Linked DNA regions of Rattus norvegicus. The protein of the gene in region 1 purifies or fractionates together with the protein of each later gene. This does not show direct contact. Links are inferred from orthologs where the notes say so. Each region holds a gene or a part of one and is shown on either strand. Other genes may lie near its edges.

The links.
Region 2: the proteins of Cul7 (region 1) and Fbxw8 purify together in Homo sapiens (affinity purification with western blotting; 12 studies listed by BioGRID and IntAct, with this or other methods). This does not show direct contact. The link is inferred for Rattus norvegicus from reciprocal best matches to the Homo sapiens genes CUL7 and FBXW8.
Region 3: the proteins of Cul7 (region 1) and Skp1 purify together in Homo sapiens (affinity purification with mass spectrometry; 8 studies listed by BioGRID and IntAct, with this or other methods). This does not show direct contact. The link is inferred for Rattus norvegicus from reciprocal best matches to the Homo sapiens genes CUL7 and SKP1.
Region 4: the proteins of Cul7 (region 1) and Glmn purify together in Homo sapiens (affinity purification with mass spectrometry; 4 studies listed by BioGRID and IntAct, counting the BioPlex papers as one, with this or other methods). This does not show direct contact. The link is inferred for Rattus norvegicus from reciprocal best matches to the Homo sapiens genes CUL7 and GLMN.

What each region holds. Positions count from the first base shown.
Region 1 is NC_086027.1:21,822,934-21,828,223, reverse strand, and holds part of Cul7 (cullin 7), read left to right. Parts: intron 1-10; coding exon 11-484; intron 485-1,071; coding exon 1,072-1,207; intron 1,208-1,299; coding exon 1,300-1,496; intron 1,497-1,749; coding exon 1,750-1,993; intron 1,994-3,006; coding exon 3,007-3,244; intron 3,245-3,337; coding exon 3,338-3,443; intron 3,444-4,433; coding exon 4,434-4,661; intron 4,662-4,849; coding exon 4,850-4,940; intron 4,941-5,056; coding exon 5,057-5,228; intron 5,229-5,290. UniProt on the Homo sapiens protein: Core component of the 3M and Cul7-RING(FBXW8) complexes, which mediate the ubiquitination and subsequent proteasomal degradation of target proteins. Core component of the 3M complex, a complex required to regulate microtubule dynamics and genome integrity.
Region 2 is NC_086030.1:44,085,319-44,091,075, reverse strand, and holds the start of Fbxw8 (F-box/WD repeat-containing protein 8), read right to left. Parts: upstream 3,702-5,757; 5' UTR 3,647-3,701; coding exon 3,335-3,646; intron 1-3,334. UniProt on the Homo sapiens protein: Substrate-recognition component of the Cul7-RING(FBXW8) ubiquitin ligase complex, which mediates the ubiquitination and subsequent proteasomal degradation of target proteins.
Region 3 is NC_086028.1:36,900,179-36,906,268, forward strand, and holds the start of Skp1 (S-phase kinase-associated protein 1), read left to right. Parts: upstream 1-2,729; 5' UTR 2,730-2,812; intron 2,813-2,850; exon of another isoform or gene 2,851-3,291; coding exon of another isoform or gene 3,292-3,297; intron 3,298-6,090. UniProt on the Homo sapiens protein: Essential component of the SCF (SKP1-CUL1-F-box protein) ubiquitin ligase complex, which mediates the ubiquitination of proteins involved in cell cycle progression, signal transduction and transcription.
Region 4 is NC_086032.1:2,344,535-2,349,824, forward strand, and holds part of Glmn (glomulin), read left to right. Parts: intron 1-79; coding exon 80-196; intron 197-1,064; exon of another isoform or gene 1,065-1,088; coding exon 1,089-1,197; intron 1,198-2,440; coding exon 2,441-2,678; intron 2,679-4,140; coding exon 4,141-4,243; intron 4,244-5,290.

The DNA.
Region 1 (5,290 bases):
TATTCTATAGGTCCCAGGACGGCTGCTCTTCTCCCTGGTGAAACGCTACCTATGTGTCACCTTCCTCCTGGATCGGCTGAACGGCAACGCAGAGGATCAAGATGCCCAGAACAACTTCATTCCAGAGGAGTTGAATGCTGGGAGGGGCCGGGTGGAACTGGAATTCAGTATGGCCATGGGCACTCTGATCTCCGAGCTGGTGCAAGCCATGCGCTGGGACTGGGCCTCAAGCAGATCAGAGAGCTCCTCTCCCATTTTCCAGCCTCCGCCAACAGAGTTCTTCCGCCCCCGTGCCCAGCGTTTCAGGAGGTCAAGGCGGTTTCGCCCGCGCACCGCATTTGCGAGTGTCAACACCTATGCCTTGTATGTGCGGGATACGCTACGGCCCGGGATGCGGGTACGGATGCTGGAGGATTTCGAGGAGATCAGTGCTGGGGACGAAGGCCAGTTCCGACAGAGCAACGACGGCATGCCTCCGGTCCAGGTAAAGGCTGTACAGTAGTGAGACCCTGAAATTCTATTCTGGGTAAGGCATGCATGCCTGGGTGTTCTGTACTAGAGGCTCAGTTAAGATCCAAAGGGCAAAGGCATTAACAGTTGAAAGGACATGGAACCCTTGGGATATGTGATTAAAGGAAGTTCGGACCCAAGAAGAAACTGGTAGATCCGAATTTGGCAATGGCTGTTTGAGGCCAGATGGAAGCATTGAATATCAAAGACAGAGACGATCCAGGCGTGGTAGCCATGTTTGTAGTCTCAGAACTCGGGAGGTAGAGAGAGACAGGAAGATGGGAGTTCAAGGCCAGCCGTGACCACATAGCAATGTTGAGGCCAGTCTGGGACCCCCGTCTGAAAGAGAGTAAAAACAGAACTAGAATAAAGGAAGTAGAGGCCATTGCTGAAGAGAGGGTGGGGCTGTCTGTATATACACTGTCGTCTATGCATTCTATATATTCTATAGCCAGTGTTGCTATTTGGTCACCTTATAGACCATGAGCCCCAGCGTTGGGCCTCAGCTGATTAATAGCAAATCCTCTTCTCCTTCCCTCTTCCCGCGCTCCAATCCTCCAGGTGTTGTGGGATTCGACAGGCCATACCTACTGGGTACACTGGCACATGCTTGAGATCTTGGGCTTTGAGGAAGACATTGAGGATGTGGTTGACATTGATGACCAGGGGGCAATGGTCCATGGAGGACTGGGTGTAGGTGAGCTCGGGGAGGGGTTGGCTCTGAGCCGAGAAGCAGAGGCCTACCTGGGCAGGCAGTGACTTGGCCGTTGGCACGCCCCGTTTTCACAGCCCCGCCATTCCAGCACTGGAAGCCCATAGCTCAGCTCTTTGCCGAGCCTTACGTGGTGCCCGAGGAGGAAGACAGGGAAGAGAGAGAGCACTTGACCCAGGCCGAGTGGTGGGAGCTCTTCTTCTTCATCAAGAAGTTAAACGCAGAGGAACGGCAGCACGTGGTGGAGCTCCTTCAGGAGTTCCTGGAGGGGGAGGTAGGCACTCCTCAGAGGCGCCCCCTACAGGTCTGGACTGGAACATTTGCAAAGCTCGGGAGGGGACGTGGAGGTCAGATAGCATCAGGGGCCCACAGTGGAGGAGTCTGGGAAGTTCAAAGATGCAAGTGTTGGTGGGCTGTCAGCTACCAGAGGTTCAGAATGGTGGATGTGTGTGGAGATTCCCCATTCCCCCAGAGGACCTCTCACCATCTGCTCGTTCAGCTGCTACGGGCTGACTTTCTTCCCACAGCATGTTCTGGACTTTGAGATCCTGCCCGAGCTGACTGTACCTGTTGAGTTGGCTCAGGACCTGATGCTGTCTCTGCCTCAACAACTTGATGACAGCGCTTTGAGGGACCTGTTCAACTGCTATGTGTACCGGAAGTACGGCCCCGAAGTCCTGGTAGGGAAGCGAAACCGCCCGTTTGTGCTAGATGACCAGCTTAACCTATTCCGGATCGAAACGGACTCTGAAGATGAGGCTGGCGCTGAAGGTGAGTGTCCCGCAGACAGCAGCAGAGACACCTGCCTTCGGGAGAGTGTCGTCACAGGGGGGTCTCCTCTAACAGTGTGCTGTCCTGTCTGAAAGAGATACCCTACCCACAGTCCCAGAAACTTTATATGTGCGTCCACGTGAGTGCGTGTGCGTGCGCGCGCGTGCGTACCTGTGTGTCTAGACCCGAAGACAATTACAGATGTCGTTCCTCAGCTGTCATTTATCTTTTATTTAAATTGATTTTATTTTAGCTGAGTGTGGTGGCCCACACAGATATCTGAGTTTGAAGCCAGCCTGCTCTATAGAGCAAATTCCAGGACAGCCAGGGCTACACAGAAACCCTGTCTCAAAAGTACCAAGCCGGGGTTGGGGATTTAGCTCAGTGGTAGAGCGCTTGCCTAGGAAGCGCAAGGCCCTGGGTTCGGTCCCCAGCTCCGAAAAAAAGAACCAAAAAAAAAAAAGTACCAAGCCAAAAAAAAATTTTTATTTTATTTTATTCGTATGGGTATTGTGTGTCTATTACGTCCATGCAGTGCCCACAGAGGCCAGAAGAGGGCGTCGGCTCTCCTGGAGTTGAGGTTCTAATTAGTTGTGAGCTGCCAAGTGGATGCTGGCGATTGAACCTGGAGCCTCTGGAAAAACAAGTGTTCTTAATCTTGACCCATCTCTGTAGACCCATCCGCCACACTTTTTCTTCCTCCTTTCTTTCCTCTATCTCTCTTTCTTTTCTTCTTTTTTTTTTGGGGGGGGGGGGGGGCAAGTTCTCCTGCTGCCCTGGTCCTTGCTGTCTCCACCATATGTATGAACCACAGGCATGAACCACTGTGTTCAGTTATTGTTTCTAGAAGATTTTATTTCTAATTATGTGTCTGTATGTGGGTTCGTGCGTGTGAATGCAGATACCCCAAGTAGGCCAGTGAGACTGTCAGATGGCTGGAGCTGGAGTTGCAGTGGGTCACGAGCTGCCTGACACAGGTACTGCCAATTCTTACCCCACTCTTGTTCCTCCAGCCCAAGATCCCCCATCTCAGAGTGCCAGCCCTGCCCTGCGGCAACTGGTGGAGGGCTTGGGCCCATCTGGGAAGCTCCTTGTGGACCTGGAGCGAGCCCTCAGCTCTGAGGCTCCCCAGGAAAATGAGGTCAAGCCATGCCTGCTGCAGCTGCAGGAGGAGCCCCAGCCCTTCCTCACACTCATGCGGAGTCTGGACACTCCAGCCAGCAACAAGGCCCTGCACCTGACTGCGCTGAGGTGGGAGAGCAGTGAGGGGCAGGGCTGGGCACAGGAAGGCCTCACACCAACCTGATTATCTCTCTACCTTCCCGTTTCTGTCTCTCCCCCTAGAATCTTGATGCAGCTGGTGAACTTCCCTGAGGCACTGCTGCTTCCCTGGCATGAAGCCATGGATGCCTGTATGACCTGCCTTCGGTCCCCCAATACTGACCGAGAGGTAGCCCTGTCCCACTCTGGGGAGATGCTGGGCGGTGGGAGGACCCCAGTGAGGCAGACCCCCGGGTGAGGCTTGGAGGATGCAACAGAGTCTTTGTGTTCTTGCCTTTAAAATGAAAATCTTATGTTTTTTAAATAGGTAATATTCAGAAAAGTTCACAAGTCAAAATGGCACAAGGTAGTCCTTGAGAATTCTGGCTCTTACCTGATTCTCATTGTCTGAGCGTCCTTGCTGGTAACCCACTGTATTAATCTATAGTCTGTCCCCTGCTTCCTTAAGCGTATAGAAATGAGCTCGGCGGGCTTCAGCCAGGCCTTCAGGAGGAAGGGGAGCAGCCTCGCTGCTCTTGTAGAGGACCCAGATTTAGTTCTCAGCACCCACCGGACAGCTCGCAACCATCTGTAACTCGTTCTAGGGAGGAGGTAGACACCTCTTTCTAGTCACATGCACACACGGTGTAATGGCAGGCAAATACTCTCACATAAGATTTAAATAACTTTACGAAATCTTTTCAGAGAGGGAGTGAGGGAGCAGACTTTTCTATAAGAGGTCCTGGGTACAGGAGGCCTCAGAAGGGTCAAATGTATGGTGTTAATGAGTATCTCAAGTCGATGCCTTCAGTTGCCAAGCTAGACCAGAGAGAAGTTCAGGCCTTCTCTTCCCTTCTAGCCCTCATTAAGTGTCTGGGCTGGGGGCCTACACATCTCAACACCAATCCTGCAGCTGGCTCCTGGGAGCCACAGCTGAGTCCAAGAACTGAGGATCCTCTACCTGTTCCCCACATACTTGGTGGCTAAGAGCCCCAGAGGGCAAGCAGGCTCTTCCCATAGGTTTGACCTTGTTTCTCTAACTGCACCTGGTTTTTATATTACTTCCACACACTGCCTTGCTCGGCTCCCAGCACAGAGTGGGCATGAGTCACCACAGCTATCCATGTAGCCGAGGCTTGCCCCTTTCTTCACTGTCCCCTTGATTGACATCCCCGCTCAGGTGCTCCAGGAACTAATCTTTTTCCTACACCGCCTGACCTCCACGAGCCGGGACTATGCGGTGATCCTAAACCAGCTAGGAGCCCGGGACGCCATCTCCAAGGTCCTGGAAAAGCACCGAGGGAAACTGGAGTTGGCTCAGGAGCTGCGGGACATGGTGTTCAAGTGTGAGAAGCATGCTCACCTCTACCGGAAACTCACCACAAATATTCTGGGCGGTTGCATCCAGGTCAGGAGGAAGGGCAGGAGGAAGTGGAGGTTCTGAGCTACCTAAGAACATGAATTCTGAGCAATGGCAGGGTTTGGGTGTTGGCTCGAGTGAGCCTGGAGGTGTGTGTTCCCTTAGTGTTTGACCTTTCCTCTGTGTGTGTTTGCTTGAGCCTTGTGTCTCTCCTTTCTCTGATGTTCTGGCTCCAGATGGTGCTGGGCCAGATTGAAGACCACAGACGAACCCACCGGCCCATCCAAATCCCGTTCTTTGATGTGTTTCTCAGATATCTGTGCCAGGGTTAGTGTCTGTCCCTGATCTGTTTCATTTACCATCACCCATTGTCCCCTTTGTGCTTACCTGGCTGTGACCTTTACCCTTTCCCGCTGTCCGCGTCCCCCACCCCCCCCCCCCAGGCTCCAGTGCGGAAGTGAAGAAAAATAAGTACTGGGAGAAGGTAGAGGTGTCCTCCAACCCACACCGGGCCAGCAGGCTGACGGACCGCAACGCCAAGACCTACTGGGAGTCAAATGGCACTGCCGGCTCCCACTTCATCACCGTGCACATGCGCCCGGGTGTCCTCATCAGGTAATGCGCTCCCACATGCACGCGTGGGTGGCCCTGTATTTGTCCTGCCGGAGTCACCTGGG
Region 2 (5,757 bases), on another chromosome or scaffold:
AGATCAAAAGGATGCAAAGCTCTCAGCTCCTGCTCCAGCACTATGCCTGTCAGCTTTCCACCAGGATTATAGACTAAAGCTCTAAAACTGTAAGCAAGCCACCAATTAAATGCTTTCTTTTATAAGAGCTGCCTTGGTCGCAGTGTCTTTTCACAGCAAAAGAACTAAGATACCTTATTTGTTGTTGTTGTTGTTTTTTAAAAAAGGAGAAAAAAGCTCCTTGATGTAATGTGTACTTTGGCCAGTGACCACGCTGGGATACAGAATGGTTTTATTCAGATCATGTATAAACTTTAAGTAAAGAAAACTGAACAGTTGGAAAGAACACCCTACACTACCCACCATGTTTAATATCTAATTTTGGTTGCCACTATAAAACGAATCATCACAAAGCTGTCTCGGAAGACATGGAACAAAATTCCTGATGAACTAGGCAAGACCCCCACACCTACACAGTTGCCCTCTGACCCCATGTGCTGTGGAGCTCACATTTACTGCCACAGGGAGCCGAGGTTCTTAATAAACATCACTGCCATCTCTTAGGCTGAAGATACAGGATGAGTTCACTGTCCTTCAAAACCAAACCTACCTTCCTCCTGTTCAGCTACCAGGACACGTAGAAGACAGCCAAAGGAGAGGGTTGTTGGGAATGATGAAGATATTGTCTGTGAAGCACTGGGCAGCCAGCACTGTGACCACAGCCCTCGGGAAGAAGAGACACGAAAATAAAAAGGCCAGGCCAGGGGGGAGGAGGCTCAGTCAGTAAGGCACTCGCCTTACAAGTGTAAGGACCCTGCTTAGACCTCCAGGACACATGGAAAAAGGCAAGCATGAAGACATATGCCTGAGATACCAGAGAAGGTGGGAAGAGAGAAGAAACAAATGTCTGGAAGTGCAAGGGACAGCTAGCTTGGGCTTTGTGACAACGCTCCAAGCCAAATAAAATGTGGAGGTGCCTGAGGGTCAACATCCGGGGCTGTCCTCTGCTCTCCACATGCAGGCTGAGCGCACAGACATCTACAGGAAATCTCAACCACCCTCCTCTCTCATACACACACACACACACACACACACACACACACACACACACGGGGGTTGGGGGGCAAAGAAAGAATCTAATGCCAGTCTAAGGTACACAGTGACACCTTGATAGTTAAGAGCAGAATCTGTCATCCAAGGGTCCCAAATTCTATTCCTAACACCCATGTCAGGTGGCTCAACCTGTGTAATTCCAGTCACCTGAGCACACAATGACCCATGGCGTCTTCTTTTGTACAGATGTCACTAATTGGAGAGCTGGCTGCTGCTCAGAAGAAACCAAAACAGTTCCTAGTGTGGTGCTTCTGGCTGGGCAGAGGAGCCTACTATCATTCACCCCTGGGACAAGACACAGGGAAGGTTTTTGCCAACTCCATATGAAACTTAAGAGTCTGGTATGCCCTGGACCTTCCTCCTAGGTCCCTGACACTTTATTTCTGATTCTGGAGTGCTGCCTGAGTGTGAGGCTGGAAAGTCTTGTGTATTAGGATTTCGGGTCTATCTTAGTCAAGGTTTTTAATTGCTGTAATAAAAACCATGACCCTAAACAAGATGAGGGGCGAAAGGGATTTACTTGGCTTATATCTCCACATCATAGTCCATCACTGCAGAAAGTCAGGATAGGAACCTGGGGCAGGAGCTACTGCAGAGGCCACGGAGAGGTGCTGCTTACTGGCTTCCTCAGCCTGCTTCCTTATGGAAACCAGGACCACCAGGCCATGGGTGTTTCTACCCACAATGAACCATCCCCTCTCCCACCAATCCCTAATTAAGAAAATGCCCTACAGGTTTGCCTACAGCTCAATCCTACGGAGGCATCGTCTCAGTTGAGGCTCCTCCTTTCCAGTCACTCTGGCTTGTGTCAAGTTGACGTAAAAACTAGCCAGCACAGAGGCTACACAGCTGACGGTATCTAAACCCCCACGGGTTCTCAGTCATCAGATGAGCTACTTCCCCAGGCTGCTGCTTAGCAGGTCTGAGAGGACTCAGGAACCTACACTAAGGCCAGGGGGATGGGGGTCGGGGAACTCAAGCTTCACTTGGTGAAGTTAAAACACAGGAATCCAAATTCAATCCCCAGAATTTCTCAGTTGGGTAATTCTAAGCAAATTGAAAAAAAGAAATAAAATAAAATTTAAATAAAAATACCATTGCCTTGGGGTCCGTATGTAAAAGGAAATAGTTATCTACCTCATATTATGGCTACTATAGAATCAAGGCAGAGCACCAGACACTCGTTTAAAAGAAAGATGGCCTTAAAACTCAATGTAGAAGCATTTAAACAAAACTTTCCATTGCATAAAGTTAACCATTTTTAAAAAAGTATGTGTCTGTGTGTGTGTGTTGGGGGGGGGGGGCTGTACTCATGTGTGCAAGTGTCCATGGAAGCCAGAGACATTAAATATCCTGAAACCGCAGTTTCAGGAAGTCGTGAGCCACCTGACATGGGTACCAGAAACCCAACTCCAGAAGAGCATATTGCGCTCTTAACTACGGAGCCATCTCTCCAGCTTGATCCTGTTATTCCTCTAAACAACTTTCACTCACGGAAAAGTATTCCCTACTGAACTGTAGAATTGTTCTTTGGCACAATAAAATATAATAAACTTAAAAAAAAAGAAAAGAAATGTTCTTTGAACCTGGTTTGAGTGAAACCATTAAAACCTTCTGTTCTGACCTAACTCTTAACCTGAAAGCCATGGATCCATGTTAGGGGTTCTTGATTTGATTCTATCGACTTGGTAAATGAGGCTGGGGAAAAGGGTTTCCTGATTCTCCAAGAGACCCATGCCCTCCAAAGGCCTCCTAAAAATGCTGACCAAAGGATTCTTCTTCGCCATAGTCCTTTCGTTCCTTCTGATTTATGGTTGCTATTTTTCTTTAAGTAACACGTTACGTTAGGAAAATCAAAGAATACAGAGAAAAGTGAGCATAATTTCCGTCCTCTGCTTTTTCTTAACCTCCCTCTCCAGAGTCAACCTTTCTGACAGGTTAAGGACGTTTCTAGGGCAGGATTTCTCAAACTCATCCGCAGTCCTTTATGGGTGGATTCTCTTTGCGGGGTGGGGAGAGGGTGTCCTGAACATTGGTGTTTGCGAGCATTCTTCTACCCTCTTGCAAGCCCAAGACCGCGCGCACACCTACTGTCAACACCCTAAAATGTTTACAGGCAAAGCTGCCAGAGGAGAACCACTGCTTCCAGGGATTACCTGGGTGTGCAGGATCCCTGCTGTACCTGCGCCCCTAACCCCACAGGGTGGGCCACAGGGAAAGCCATCTCGCCTCTGTCACTCACCAAGTCGCGGATGAGCTGGTCCACCAGCGGCTCGGGCTCCGCGGCGTCGCGGTCCGGGGGTGAGCGCGAACGGCTGGACACATCCTTCCTGTCGGTCCGGCCGGGCCTGGGCGCCGGGGGTCGGCCCGCGCCCTCCAGCAGACCCTGCGCCAGCCCCAGGTACCCCGAGGCCGGCTCGCCGCGCGCTCCCGCCTCCGGTCTCCGGGGCCGCCGCTCCCCAGCCTCGAGCCGCCGCCGTCGCCTCAGCGCCTGCGACTGCGCCAATTCCTCCTGCCAGCGCTGGCGGAACTCCTCCAGGTTATGGTCCTCCATGCTTGCCGCTCCCAGGCCTACGCGTCACCCAGGGGCAGCCAGCTGTGGACGGACTGTCCATCCGCCGGAAGTGTCCGTAGTCGGCTGGAGACTTCCGGAACCGCGGCTCTTAGGTTCCGGGCAGCCACGCCCCTCCGCTCTGCTATCCCTGGCTTTTGCCACCTTTGTACCAAGGAAGCATTTTTCCTTCGTCCCGCAAACCTGGTTTTAAATGGCTGCTGTATACATATTGCAAAGGTAGCATTTTTAATGTAGTAGTTTTTATTGCATTTTATTTAGAGTGTGTGTGCGTGTGTGTGTGTGTGTGTGTGTGTGTGTGTGTCAGAGAACGACTCAAGGAGTCGATTCTTGCCTTCCACCAAGTGGGGTCTCAGAGATTGAACTCAAGTCGTCAGGCCCGACATCAAGCACTCTTTTCTGCGGAGCCAGCTCATCCTGAAGTAAGCATTCACATCTACACATACCACACACAAATAAATATCTCTGCCTTCTTAAAAATTTACATTCACATAAAACAGAGGTAAACATTTTTTAATGGGCTTGTCTGAATCCGCGGGTAAGATTATATAGAAATATAAGAAATAAGGTCAGATAACAGCGTGATTGACAGAGGGAGGAGCCAATTAGTGATGAAGGGTAGTCATGAAGGTCTCTCTAAGGAAATGCCGTTCTAGCTGATAAACAGAAAAACCTGCCATGGGAAATTAGCAGAGATTTCCAGGACTACAAATCCAAAGGCGGTCTTGGGGTGGGGGGAGGATCTGTGAAGGAACGTTCTGGAAAGAACCTCTACCTCCCACTGAACCTTCTGCAAGTCTGCTTAACTGATCAGAATTTCAGTCACTGTGGGGAGGTTGGAATGTTGCTAGTCCAGAGTATATAATTATGGTTCATCTTGGGCTATCATTAGCGCCCCCTATTAACCATTCTGTTCCCACCTCTGTGTCAAACCTTTTGCTATATTAGCTTGGTCGACTCCTGTCTTCCACCAACCCAAAAGTTCAGAATGTCACCAGATAGTGCCTGATCCTACAACAGTGGGTCCCCACCTTGCTTCTTTTCATGAAACCTCTGCCACATTGGAGTGTGGGATTGGGGTGACCTAAGTCCACGTTCCCAGATATGTGTTGTGAATAGAAAGACATAAGGGCCAGTTTAATGTGTCAACAACATGGTACTGATGTGGGCAAGGATAGCTCGTGCTCAACGTGGGGTGAGGGGTGCTCTGAGTCAGCATAAAATGGCTGACATCAGATGTCCTGGGAGCCCAAAAGTAAACGGTGATGTCATCTGTTATACAGCCACTTCTGTCAGACTGCCACTTTTATGTGGACTCTATAAATACAGCCTTCAGGTCAGAGGCCTGAGCCTTCACTAGAAGGCCTGTGTGTGTGTGTGTGTGTGTGTGTGTGTGTGTGTGTGTCTGTCTGTCTGTCTGTCTGTCTGTCTGCCCCTGTGTGTGTGTGTGTGTGTGTGTGTGTGTGTACTTCTGTGTGACCTGCATGTCTGTCTGTAGACCTGTGTATCTACCATTGTGCCTGTATGCACCTGTGCACCCGTCTCTGGGTGGCCTGTTTGTGTCTGTAGAACTATGTGTATGTATGGTTGGCTGTAGGCCTGGGTGCCTATCTCTGTGCAGCCCACATGCCAATCTATGTATGACCTGTGGACATCAGTGTGTGCCTGGGTGCCTGCCCGCAGCGGCTGCTTGATTGCCTCACCACCCGTGTGCTGGTTAATACACGGCTGACCTCTCAGCTGACCTCTGCTCGTCACCAGGCCTTTAACCTCCAGCCTCCCCAGACCCCTCTTCCTTTCCTGGAATCAGACGACGGTCCCCCCACAGCACAGTCACTCCTGTTTGGCTCCAGAATAAACTATGTACTTTCCCCTTTGAGGTGAGAGTTGGTTTTATGTTGACATAGTATAAGGTGGCACCCCTCCCCCATCATAACTGTGAGGCGCAATGACCCTTGCTTCGTAATAACAGCACTGGAGAGTCAAGGCAGCGAGAGTGTCCCAGTTTGACATCAAGGCTGGGTGTGCTGAGTGAGCGAAAAGTTTTTAAACCTAAATGCAAGCCTCTTCCTCCTTTTCCTCGTTGGCTGGGC
Region 3 (6,090 bases), on another chromosome or scaffold:
AAGTCTTTCCTGATAAATACTGCTGGCTCCTCCCTGGCAGCTCGTTATCACTGAGGCCCTATTACAGAGGTTTCTCCACTTACCCTAAGCTTAAGAATCACCTTGGATGGGGGTTGGGGATTTAGCTCAGTGGTAGAGCCCTTGCCTAGGAAGCGCAAGGCCCTGGGTTCAGTCCCCAGCTCCGGGGAAAAAAAAAGAACAACAACAAGAAAAAAATCACCTTGGATGGTTTAAAAGGCAGAAAACCCTGGGTTCGGTTCCCAGCTCCGAAAAAAAAGAACAAAAAAAAAAAATCACCTTGGATGGTTTAAAGGGCAGAGAACCCTGGGTTTGGTCCCCAGCTCCAAAAAAAAAGAAAAAAAAGGCAGAAAAGCCTGCCCCACGTTAGATTCATTACACTGGAAACTGACCCAGCTGCCTTTCCTTGAGTGGGGCCAATTATAAGTGCATTATTCACTTAAACATTCTTTTTTGATTTAGGTTCTTACTCTATAGCCTCAGCTGATCCAAAATTATGTAGACCAGACTATTCTTGAACTCACTAAGTGCAGAGGATGGTCATGAACTTCTGAGTCTCCCGTTTTTGTCTCCTGAGGTTACAGACTTGTACAGTTTATGGGGGTGTTGGGAACCAAACCCATGGCCTCACACATGCAAGGCAGGCACACCACCAATTGAACCACATCCCCAGAACCAGAAAACAGACTTGCAAAAAAAAGTTGTAGTGCTGTGCCTAACTCACTTCAGGGAAAAAAATTACTATGTAAAACATGCCTATGAACCCATAGGCAAATGGCAGGAAAATATACAAATCACCCAACATTTGCCCCACCTGCTAGCTCCATTTCTTTGAGGCAAACAATTTCTTGTGCATCTTTTGTGAACTAATTTGTACCTTAAATAGTCTGGGCACCGCAAGGATTGAACCCAGGGTCCTGGGCATGCTAAGCTTTGTCCCAGCACTAAAACCTCCATTTTCTCCTCCAAGCATTGGTTAATTCCTGTACCGAGGCTTTCATCCCTCTGGAGAAACATACACCTATCTTGTGACAGGCAGTGTACTGGCTTCTTAGACTAGCTGTATGACCCAGGACTGTTTAAGGAGCCCACCAAGTTTATGCCATGTGAGAGGAAAAGGCTCTCCAAGTGGGCCTTTCCTGGCAGGCCCTAAGTAGGAGCTGCGAAGGGCAGGCAGTGCTGCAGATAAAGAGCCTGAGAACTGTGGGCCTTTCATCTTCTGTCATCAGCTGTGGCACCTGGCAGACATTGGATACCACAGCCATCAGACAAAGACCTGGTCATTCAAGCCATTGCTTGGCCTCTCTGCCCAGACTTGTCCTGGAGAAACTGTAGGCTCTGGTTTCTTTAGGAGGCCCTGTGTGGAAACGTCTTTTGTCTTTGTGGTGCCAGGAATACCATCATGTGCTCATTGGCTAGGTGAGCCTGGCGCCTTGGTGGGGATAGTGATGCTCCCTAGACACAGCGGGGCAGGGCAGGCAAGTGCCCAGTTCCTGGCTGGGCTGAGGCCAGATGGGTCCTTTCAGACCTCTCCCTTTACTTCAAAGTTGTTTCATTCTAGCGACCTTATCACAGCCTTCTGTGAGCTGCCCATACAGCATAGTCTGTTCAGGTTGGGCTGACTGTCCTGGTTCACTACTGGATGGATTCCCAGCGCGGGCCTCACAGGCCTCACACACAGGCAGAGAGCATGATTACCCGAAGAATATACCCTCCATTCCACATCCCTGTTTTCTCTCTCCAGGCTTGGCGCTTCACTCCAACAATGGCTATTTGGGGTGTGAAAGCCTCTTCAAAGTTCAAAGGTAGGAAATAAAGGTTAAGATTATCCAACAAGGTGGTGCCTGCCTCCCAGCGCTGAGCTATTGGAAACACAGATCTGAATTTAAAGCCAGCCTGGTCTAAATAGCGAGTTCCAAACCTGGTTTATCTAGTAAGACCCTGTTTCAAAACAAAACAAAACAAAACAAAAAGAGTATAAGGCGAGTATATGTGGTGAAAAAAAAAAGCCGGTAATCTCACGAGTTTTAGACCAACCTGGTCTACGCAATGAATTTGCAGTCACTCTGTGCCAAACGAGACCCCGTCTTAAAATGCAAAGAAAATAAAAACTAAGCAGGTGCACCAAGTCAGGAGTATTTAGAGACACCTTGACTCAACATCCGTAATTTTTTAAAGCTCAGTTATCAGTGGAGTAAGGTTCAAGTCCTTAATTCCAGGTCGGAAAAAAAAAAAAAAAACCAAACAAACCAAAAACCCTTATTTCCTTGGGTTATTAGGAGAGTAACAGTGGTCAGGCTGAGGTGACTCCTTTAAAGCACACCCACCCACAACCGGTTTTGCGGTTTGTTCTTTCCAGGCTTTTCAGGACTGGGGTCTTTCAAGCAGTTTAAGACAGCCTCTGCCTGAAAGACCCTTCGGGTCGCGATGGTTCCCCAGCCGGTGCCGGCGTCCGCACGGAAGGAGAGCACGGCGTTGTTCAGGACGGCGGAGTAAAGTGGAAGTCCCCCTCCTGCTCAGCCACCCTTCCACCCATCGCCGCTCAGCACCTCTCCAGGAGACCTCTGCGGCGCCCAGAACCTGCCACCCGCCTTCCGCATGCCGTCAGGCACTCTCAACGGCCAGCCCGGCCGGCTGTGTGACGTCACGAACTCGGGGTCCTCGGTGCCCTCTTCCCGCTCCTATAAAAGCTGACGCCGCGCGGCGCTGCTGTAGTGGCCTTGTTCTCGAGACTTCTATTCGGTTGTGAACTCTGTTCGGCAGCCTCAGGCCTGCGGTCTTGAGACCGAGCACGGTGAGTAGCAGCCCGCGAGCCGGACCAGGTCCTGGAGGGAGGGGCTGGGTGGGAGCCCCGGGTTGGCTGTGGCGTGCACGAGGCGGCGAGTCGGCCTGGCGTGTCCTGAGGCGCTGTGCGGCCCGTTGCCGACCCCGGACCGCGGGAGGCGCGAGGCGGCCGAGTCAGGCCTTCTAGGGCCGCCCATCCTTTCGGCGCTCGCTCGCTGCTGTATCCAGCTCTGTGGCAGGCCTGCTCTTTTGCGGGCGACGTCAGTCGGCCCCGAACGCGGCTGCAAGGCCTAGGCTTCGTCCCGGGCCTGCCTTAGCGACAGGCTTGTTGCTCCGCGCTCCAGGGCGGGTTGGCCGCAAGGCTTTGAGTAGGGGTCCCGGGCCTTCCGGGTGGTGGCGGTCGTTGCCACTCGATACTTAGCTCTCTCCCTTCCTCCTGTATCTGGCGACATTTGCTCCTTACTGGTCTTACCTATTTAACCACCGAATATGCAGGTAACAGGTTCCCGATATTTCTTCGCTTTTTTTTTTTTTTTTGTCACGTCCTGCAGTCTCTGAACTTATTGTAATAGACCTTGTCGTCTGAGGTGTGTGACTTTTAGGAGCCCTTGACGCTAAAACCCAAGGTGTTGGGTTTTTAAGGGATAGTGTTAAAACATGCCTCTTGGCTCACTTTTTCATGGAGTCCTCAGGTTTGGAGACTCAGTTTTTCATCAGAATGTTACAGTAGACTGTGTTGTGGCAAAGAACAATGCACTCCCTTCTGCCCTGCAGTCCAGTAACAAGTGGCAGAATTTCGAGTCACTTAAAACAGGTTTGTTTTTAAAGTCTGTTTTAAGTGTACTAGAATTCTCATGCTAGACTTGGATGGTGGTTTAGTTTCCAAGTCCAGGAGCTTAGAGAACTAAAGAAGGGTTTTTTGAAAGCATATCAAATCGAAATCTCATACATTATTACTTAAAAATTTTGCACTTAATTCCACCACAACAAAAGTGAAGTCTAGGATTACAGAGTGCATTGAATTACAGATTAACTGATTGCCTCCCTGGCTCTCTTGCAAGTAACCTGATACCTAAATTTGACTATGACTAAGCATGTCTTTATTGTGAATTATTTCAAGGAAATATGGAATTGTCTTTTAAAATAACTTTATTAGCCACATAGACTTGTTCCTGAGTGATCATTACAGTGCTGGGGACCATAAAGAGAACATAGTGTTTTGCTATTAAAAGCTGGTCTCTTTAACTTTTATTGTTGCCTTATAAGGAGGGTCTGCTGCTCTGGGCTTCTCTGTTCTGCAGCATATTTGTGAGTTGAAAAGTGAACTCTTGAGTCTTTTCAACCATGGATGATTGTGAAACAAGCTTTATCCCCCCCCCCCCCCCAATTATTGTTTACTTGAGGAATGGGGACAAGTGTCTCAGAAAGCTGAATGAATATTTTAGGAGATACGCCGAGTCTTAAGTGTTTGACCCTTAAATAGGTACAATAGTTATTTTAAGTGCTAACCCTATAACACCCAGGTATTCCTCAGAAGCATAAGACCTGCAGAGTTACATGTGAGTTGGGGATTTTGGTGCCCACCTTTTTTTTTTCTTTTTTCTTTTTTCTTTTTTTCGGAGCTGGGGACCGAACCCAGGGCCTTGCACTCGATAGGCAAGCGCTCTACCGCTGAGCTAAATCCCCAACCCCAGGTGCCCACCTTTAATCCCAGCACTGGAGGCAGAGGCAGGTTGATGGCTGAGTTCAAAACCAGTCCTTGCTACAGAGCAAGTTGCAGGACAGCTAGGGCAACACAGAGGAACCCTGTCTCAAAAACAAACTACTAAAAAAAGTTGCTTATGAAATTTTTTTTTTCTTTTTTTTTTTTGGAGCTGGGGACCGAACCCAGGGCCTTGCGGTTGCTAGGCAAGCGCTCTACCACTGAGCTAAATCCCCAACCCCATGAAATTTTAAAGAGGTCTTGAATTACTCTTTTGGAGTAATGAGGGGGAAATCTGAAGATGATAAATTGCTGGTTTAGAGCTTTTAGTATTAATACTGGTTTGCTTTTGTTTGGTTTTGGTTTTTCCTAAAACTCAAGTCATGTTAGGAGCTAGTTGCTTAATTTTTTTAATATATGAAATTATATTTTTCCTAATGACTTATATTTTATCTCAGTTGATGCATTTTTGGATGGGGGGGTTGTTGAGATCAGTTTTTGAGACAGGGGCAAGAAAACTAGGCTAGCCTTAAATTTATTTTGTATGTATCAAGAAGATGGCCATGAACTCCTAATGCTTCTGTTTGCCAAAATGCTGGGATTGTGGAAATACTTATACTCTGTCTCACCTTTTGGGCAGAGGGAGAGGGCAATATTGCAGATTGAACTAGAGCTTTATACATGTTAGGCATTACACTCAGGAGCTGTATCCCCAGCCTCTTTTATATTTCATTTTAAGCAGGCTCTTAATGAGTTCCACCAAGGCTGGCTTGACCTCATTATGTAACCTAGTCAGTCCTTGAAATTATGATCCTCATCTTTCCAAAAACTGGACTTCACAGGACTGGTTCCTCTGTATATCCCTGACAGTTCTGGAACTCACTGTGTACACTGGCCTTGAACTCACAAAGATGCACCTGTACCTTGACTCCCACGTGCTGGAATTAAAGGCATACAGTATTACCATGCTATTTTAAATTTATATTTGTTTGAGACAGATTCTTATGTAACCCAGACTGGACTTGAACTTGGCTGTGTGCCCAATGTCTGAATTCCTGCATCTCAAGTACTGGGTTTATAGTACCTGCCACTATGACTTAAATGTATTTTGTTGTTTTGTTTGCTTTTTTGAGACAAGGTCTTTAGGTGTAGTCCTGGCTGCCCTATTTATTACATGTAAGTACATTGTAGCTGTCTTCAGACACACCAGAAAGAGAGCATCAGATCTCATTACAGATGGTTGTGAGCCACCGTGTGGTGGCTGGGATTTGAACTCAGGACCTCTGGAAGAGCAGTCAGTGCTCTTTTAACCACTCAGCCATCTCTCCAGCTTTGTTTGTTTGTTTTGAGTTTCTCTGTGCAGCTTTTGGCTCCCCTGGGACTTTCTCTGTAGACCAGGCTGGTCTTGAACTCTAGATCCGCCTCTGTCTCCCAAGTGCCCAGATTAAAAGGCATGCTTCGCCACTGCCTGGCTGAAGCAGGTCTTTTTTTTTAATTTGGTAGGTACTTAGCCAGACGATTTCAAACTTGGACATCTGAACAATAGGTAATAAAAAAATTTAAAAGGAGCTGGGTTCACACCTTTA
Region 4 (5,290 bases), on another chromosome or scaffold:
AGTTCTGTTCCTCATGTGAGGGAAGCACCCATCGTGAGTTCTGGATGACAGCGTTTGCTTTACTCTTTCCTGATTGCAGACCATCATTAAGACTATGGGGTGGAATCTTGTTGGTCCTGTTGTCCGATGCCTCCTGAGGGGCAGGGAAGAGGATAAAAGAGAAGAGTGTTTTCTGATCTTTGATTTGCTGGTGAAGGTGAGTCAGAAAGCTTGCTCTGCCTGTCACTCACACAGCAGCACCGCCGCAGTTCCCTTCCACCTTTAATTCTTGCTCTTTGGTAAGGAGATTCTAGTTGAAGAAATTATTCTTGGGTAATGCCCAACTGACCTTGGCTGGACGGCCAAGTGGGCAGCTCCATCTGAGCACCGACATTCCCAGATACGAGAATTAGCCAGTCTGAGGCCCGACTCAGGTTCCAGCAAGAATTAGCCAGTCTGAGACCCGACTCAGGTTCCAGCAAGAATTAGCCAGTCTGAGACCCGACTCTGGTTCCAGTAAGAAAGCTATAACAGAAGTTAGCACGTGCTCTCGTTACGTAGGTGAGGTCAGTTGTAGAGAACTTTTAATGCTGTGCTGACCCTCCTGAAGCATTAGAGGTAGAGTCAGATACCAGATATGAAAGTTATGAGTCGCAGTCATCAGCAGAAAGATATGCGACTGTAAGGGGCGGGGGCTAGAGGGAAGTACAGGTGGGGTCAACAATAGCAGCTTCTGTGTGAAGATGCCGTAATGAAGCCTGATGTAGAAAACTTTAGCGAGTGCTGTGGTAGACACAAGTGAGTGCCCACATGGGAAAGCCCCTCCAGGTAAGAGAGAGGCAGTGGCTGGGGGCGCAGCTCGGGTGGAAGTGCTGAGAAAGCTAAGCAGACTGAGGGTAAGGCAGTCAGGTGCACCACAGAGACCAGGGCCCTGCATGGAGAGCCCAGTGAGGAAGCCCGAGCTCTGAAGGGTCTTTAACAACCGAGTAGGGCACTTTACATCTAGCAAATATAACTGTATTTTCTTGGTATGTCTTCTTTAAAATAGTAATCATGTGGCTTTAAATACAACTTGTATTAAACAGGTTCAATTGTGAATATTTTTATAGTTGTGTAATCCAAAGGAATTGTTGTTGGGTTTGCTTGAACTCATTGAAGAGCCCTCCGGGAAACAGATATCTCAAATTATTCTTCTTTTACTGCAACCATTACAGACAGGTAATGAGCATTTTGATATCTAAGTATTTCTTAACTTATTTGCACACGCACCCTGATGTTTACCCGTATATGTGAGCAGTCGCCAGTGTGGAGCTGCAGGACGCCTGAAGAATGGCTGTGCAGTGAATGCCTTGCTGTGTGTCATACTGTTTGCATGTATGTAGTCTTTGGCTAGCTTTCTTTTTGTTCCATGTATATGTGCGTGTTTTGTCTGCATATATGCCTGTACACCACTTGCATTCCCAGTGCCTTTGAGGCCAGAAGTGAACACTAGATCCCCTGGAGTTAGAGACAGTTGTAAGCTGCCACATGGGTGCTGGGAACTGAATCTGGGTCCTCCAGAAGAGCCAGCACTCTTAGCCACTGAGCCCTCTCTCCAGCTCCCTAGTAAGCGTCTTGTCTACAGCTGTCTAAGCATAGTTAGTGGCTCAGTGGGACCTGCGCATGCAGTCCAACAGCAGTGTGGCAGGTAGTCCTGTAGTGTGGTTAAGAAGGATGTGAGACCGGGTTCTGCTCAGCCTTTGGATTGGGAGGTTGGAGGTAAAAGGTTCACCAGAGTGAAATGAGGCATGTAGAGAGAGAAGCTTCATGACGCAGTATTGGCCAATAATGGCTCCCAGCAACCAAGATAGACACTTCCCATGAAAGAAGCCATCACTGTTGGCGTGTGTAGCACATATTTATGCTTCGGAATATGATAGGGAGTCTAGACACTTAACACTTTTAAACATTCAAAGTCTTCCAAGAACACAGCAAGCTCTCTAATTCTCTTGTACATTTATACAGTGCTTTGCAGTTTTCCATTTGTATTTTGTGTTTATAATCCAATAAAAGGGAAAGATGTAACCACTTATAAAACTACTGTATTGGTTTTCTTATTGCTGGGCCCAAGCACCTGACAGCTGGCAATTTACAGAACTGTTGATCTGGTTAGGGTCCACAGTCCATCATGGTGGGGGAGGCATGGTGGGAGTAGTGTGGTAAAGAACCTGTCACATTGCAGGCTCTGCCACCTCAGATAACAGGTAACTGCTCACAGGCAAGCACAGGTAACTGCTCACAGGGCAGCACAGGTAACTGCTCACAGGGCAGCACAGGTAACTGCTCATGGGGCGAGCACAGGTAACTGCTCACGGGGCAGCACAGGTAACTGTTCATGGGGCAGCACAGGTAACTGTCACGGGCGAGCACAGGTAACTGCTCACGGGTGAGCACAGTGGTAACCACTTGGTCTCTGTTGCAGTTATTCAGAAACTTCCTAACAACAAGGCATACTCGGCTGGATTAGCATTGTCCACGCTCTGGAGTCAGCTGTCTCTTCTTCCTGTCCCACACTCAGAAGAACAAATACAGGCAGATGACTATGGCCTTTGTCAGTGTTGCAGGGCCTTGATAGAGTTCACGAAACCCTTTGTGGCAGAAGTTGCTAGTGATAAAGAAGACCCAGCAAACACAAAGCTGAAGGATGAACTACTGAAATTGTAAGTGTCTCCAGCGGAGTGAGCCATGGTAGCTGTTACCTTAGGTTTCGTGTTTGTGCATGTGAATTTTGAATTATAGACATCGGGCTGGTACAGCATGCGGGCTGGTACAGCATGCTTGTTTAATGAGACACTGAGAGTGTAAAACCAAACCCTTCACTTAATTTACTTTCCTCTGTCACAGCAAGCAAATACTGAAAGAGCAGCAGGAACTCTATTTAACTCAAGGAATTTATTGTCAGTGGGGAATTGTATTTGGAAACAGTAGACAGTTGAACCACTAGACAGTTGAGCATCCACCCTGACTACAGATTCAGCAAAGTCACCCACCACTGTTCAGTATGGCTGCCAGCCCCTTGGCAGATGGATGGTCCCAACTGAGATGCACTGTCAGTAACAAACAGCCTGGAGACAGATGAGCTGATGTGGTGCTCACCTGTCATTGCACCCTTAGGAGGTGAGGCAGGAGGATTGATTACAAGGTGAAAGCTAGAGCCTAGATTACAGAATAAGTTATCTCAAAAACTAGCACAAAAGCTCTGAGACAAAGAACACCCCATAAAGAGAGAGAAGAGTGGGTTCCTAACCTTTGTACAGTTGTGACCTGTCAGAGTAGTTTAGCTATTTTGGGATAATTGAGGTAAATTATTAATTACTCCTCACATTAGTTTCTCACAACTTTTCTCATGTGACTACTAAGGAATCTTAAATTCTAAATTATATATGGATTTGTGTTAACTTCCTCTTGGACAGTACTGATTTTTTTTTTTTTTTTAATTTGGGAGACTAATGCTATTGTTACTTTTCTATTTTGCTGGGCTAACGCATTTAAAGTTGTTTTTAAAACAAAAAAGTTGTTTTAAAAAAAACTATTTTAAAGAATTAGAAAGCACTCAGTTACAGAATAAAGTTAGAGTCTAAAAGAATACAACTTTATGAAAAACAATTACTATATTGTCGTGACTTTTCCTTGGACTCGTGATGGTGACCTCTTAGACTAGCACTGGTCCTCAGGCAGTCTAGAAATTGAGGTGAACCTGAGCTGTGCAGTCTAGCGAGGCATTCTCATGTTGCCCAGTACTGTCCAGTGAGAAAGGACTCATCGTGCGGTGCGGACTGAGCTATCCCCGCTTGCCTTAGGCCACTGTGGGGCTGCAGCAAACGACCGGGTGTTTGTCATGAAAGTCTATTGGCTGCAGTTCTCGGCCAGGAGTCCCAAGGCTGGAGTGAGCCTCAGGTACCCTGCGCTCATGTCTTCAGAGCAGCCGAATCTCTCCCACCAGCGTGAATCCCACCTTTCCAAGGTCCCACTTGTTAATACTGTCACAGCGACAAATTTCACCTGAGCTGAGGGAATGAACAACTGTGCAGCGCTTAGCTTTCGTGTAAAGCCAGATACTAAGAGCTAGATGTGCTGCGCCTGGACTGTTGACTGCATAGCTACCTGTTTCTTATGCCATAGCTGTTTCAAAAGCTTGAAATGCCCTTTGCTGACAGCACAATTCCTCGAACAGTCTGAAGAAGTTGGAAATGACCCTTTCCGGTGTTTTGCATCTGAAATAATAGTAAGTACAGCCACTCTAATCTACTGTAATACTTGGAATTTTAAATTTATCCTGCTATATTGTGATATATGAGTAGTTGAATTGATAATTTATGAGTAGGGCAGTGTGTAGGTTTTTAGAACACAGATCATCAACAGGATGGAAGTTAAATAGCAATAATGTTATCCAAAGCCTTACAGATGTTTTTATTTATATGCTAATAAATAAGAAAACGTGTACATACATGGAAGGTCTTGAAAGATGTATTTTTCTCCTAATACTTTATTACAGACCCTTGGCATTGATTTAATATTGTTTCTTAGAGAGAGACTGTGTACGAGTGTTGTGTGCATGTGTTGTGTGTATTTGGCCTGAATGTATGCGTCCCACATGCATGAGTCCCTGTGAAAAAGGAGATAGCATCAGATCTTAGTTGGTAGCCAGTATGAGGGTGCTAGGAATTGAACTTGGATCCTCTAGAAGAGCAGCTCGCCCCCATCTTAAGCACTTTAAAGTACAGCATTAAGTGTATTTCTACTCCTGTGCAGTCAGTCACCAGTGCTGCCATCTCAGGGGCATGCCTTTCCACCTGAACTCTACTTGCTAAGTACCCCCACCCTCCTGTCACTGAGGCAGCTGCCACGACGTCCGAAAGCAATTTACTGTTTTCGTGCTGAAATGGTCTCTCTCTTTCTCTTTTATTTTTAGTATTTTGGAGACAAGGTCTCTCTACAAAGTTCTGGCTGTCCTGGAACTCTCTTTGCAGTCCAGGATGGCCTTGAACTCACAGAGATCCACTTACACCTGTCTCCCAAATGGGGGATTTAAGGTGTGCACCATCATGCCCAGTTTCGTTTGTGTTTTAAAATTACTAATTTTATTTTATCACAGTGGGTTTGTATGTACACCACATGTGTGCAGTGGCCAAGGAGGCCAGAAGAGGGTATTGAATCCCTTGGAGCTGAAGTTATAAATAGTTGTGAGCTGCTATATGGGTGCTGGGAATCAAATCTGGGTCTTCTGCAGGAGCAGCAAATGCTCTTAACTGCTAGGTCATCTCCAGTCCCT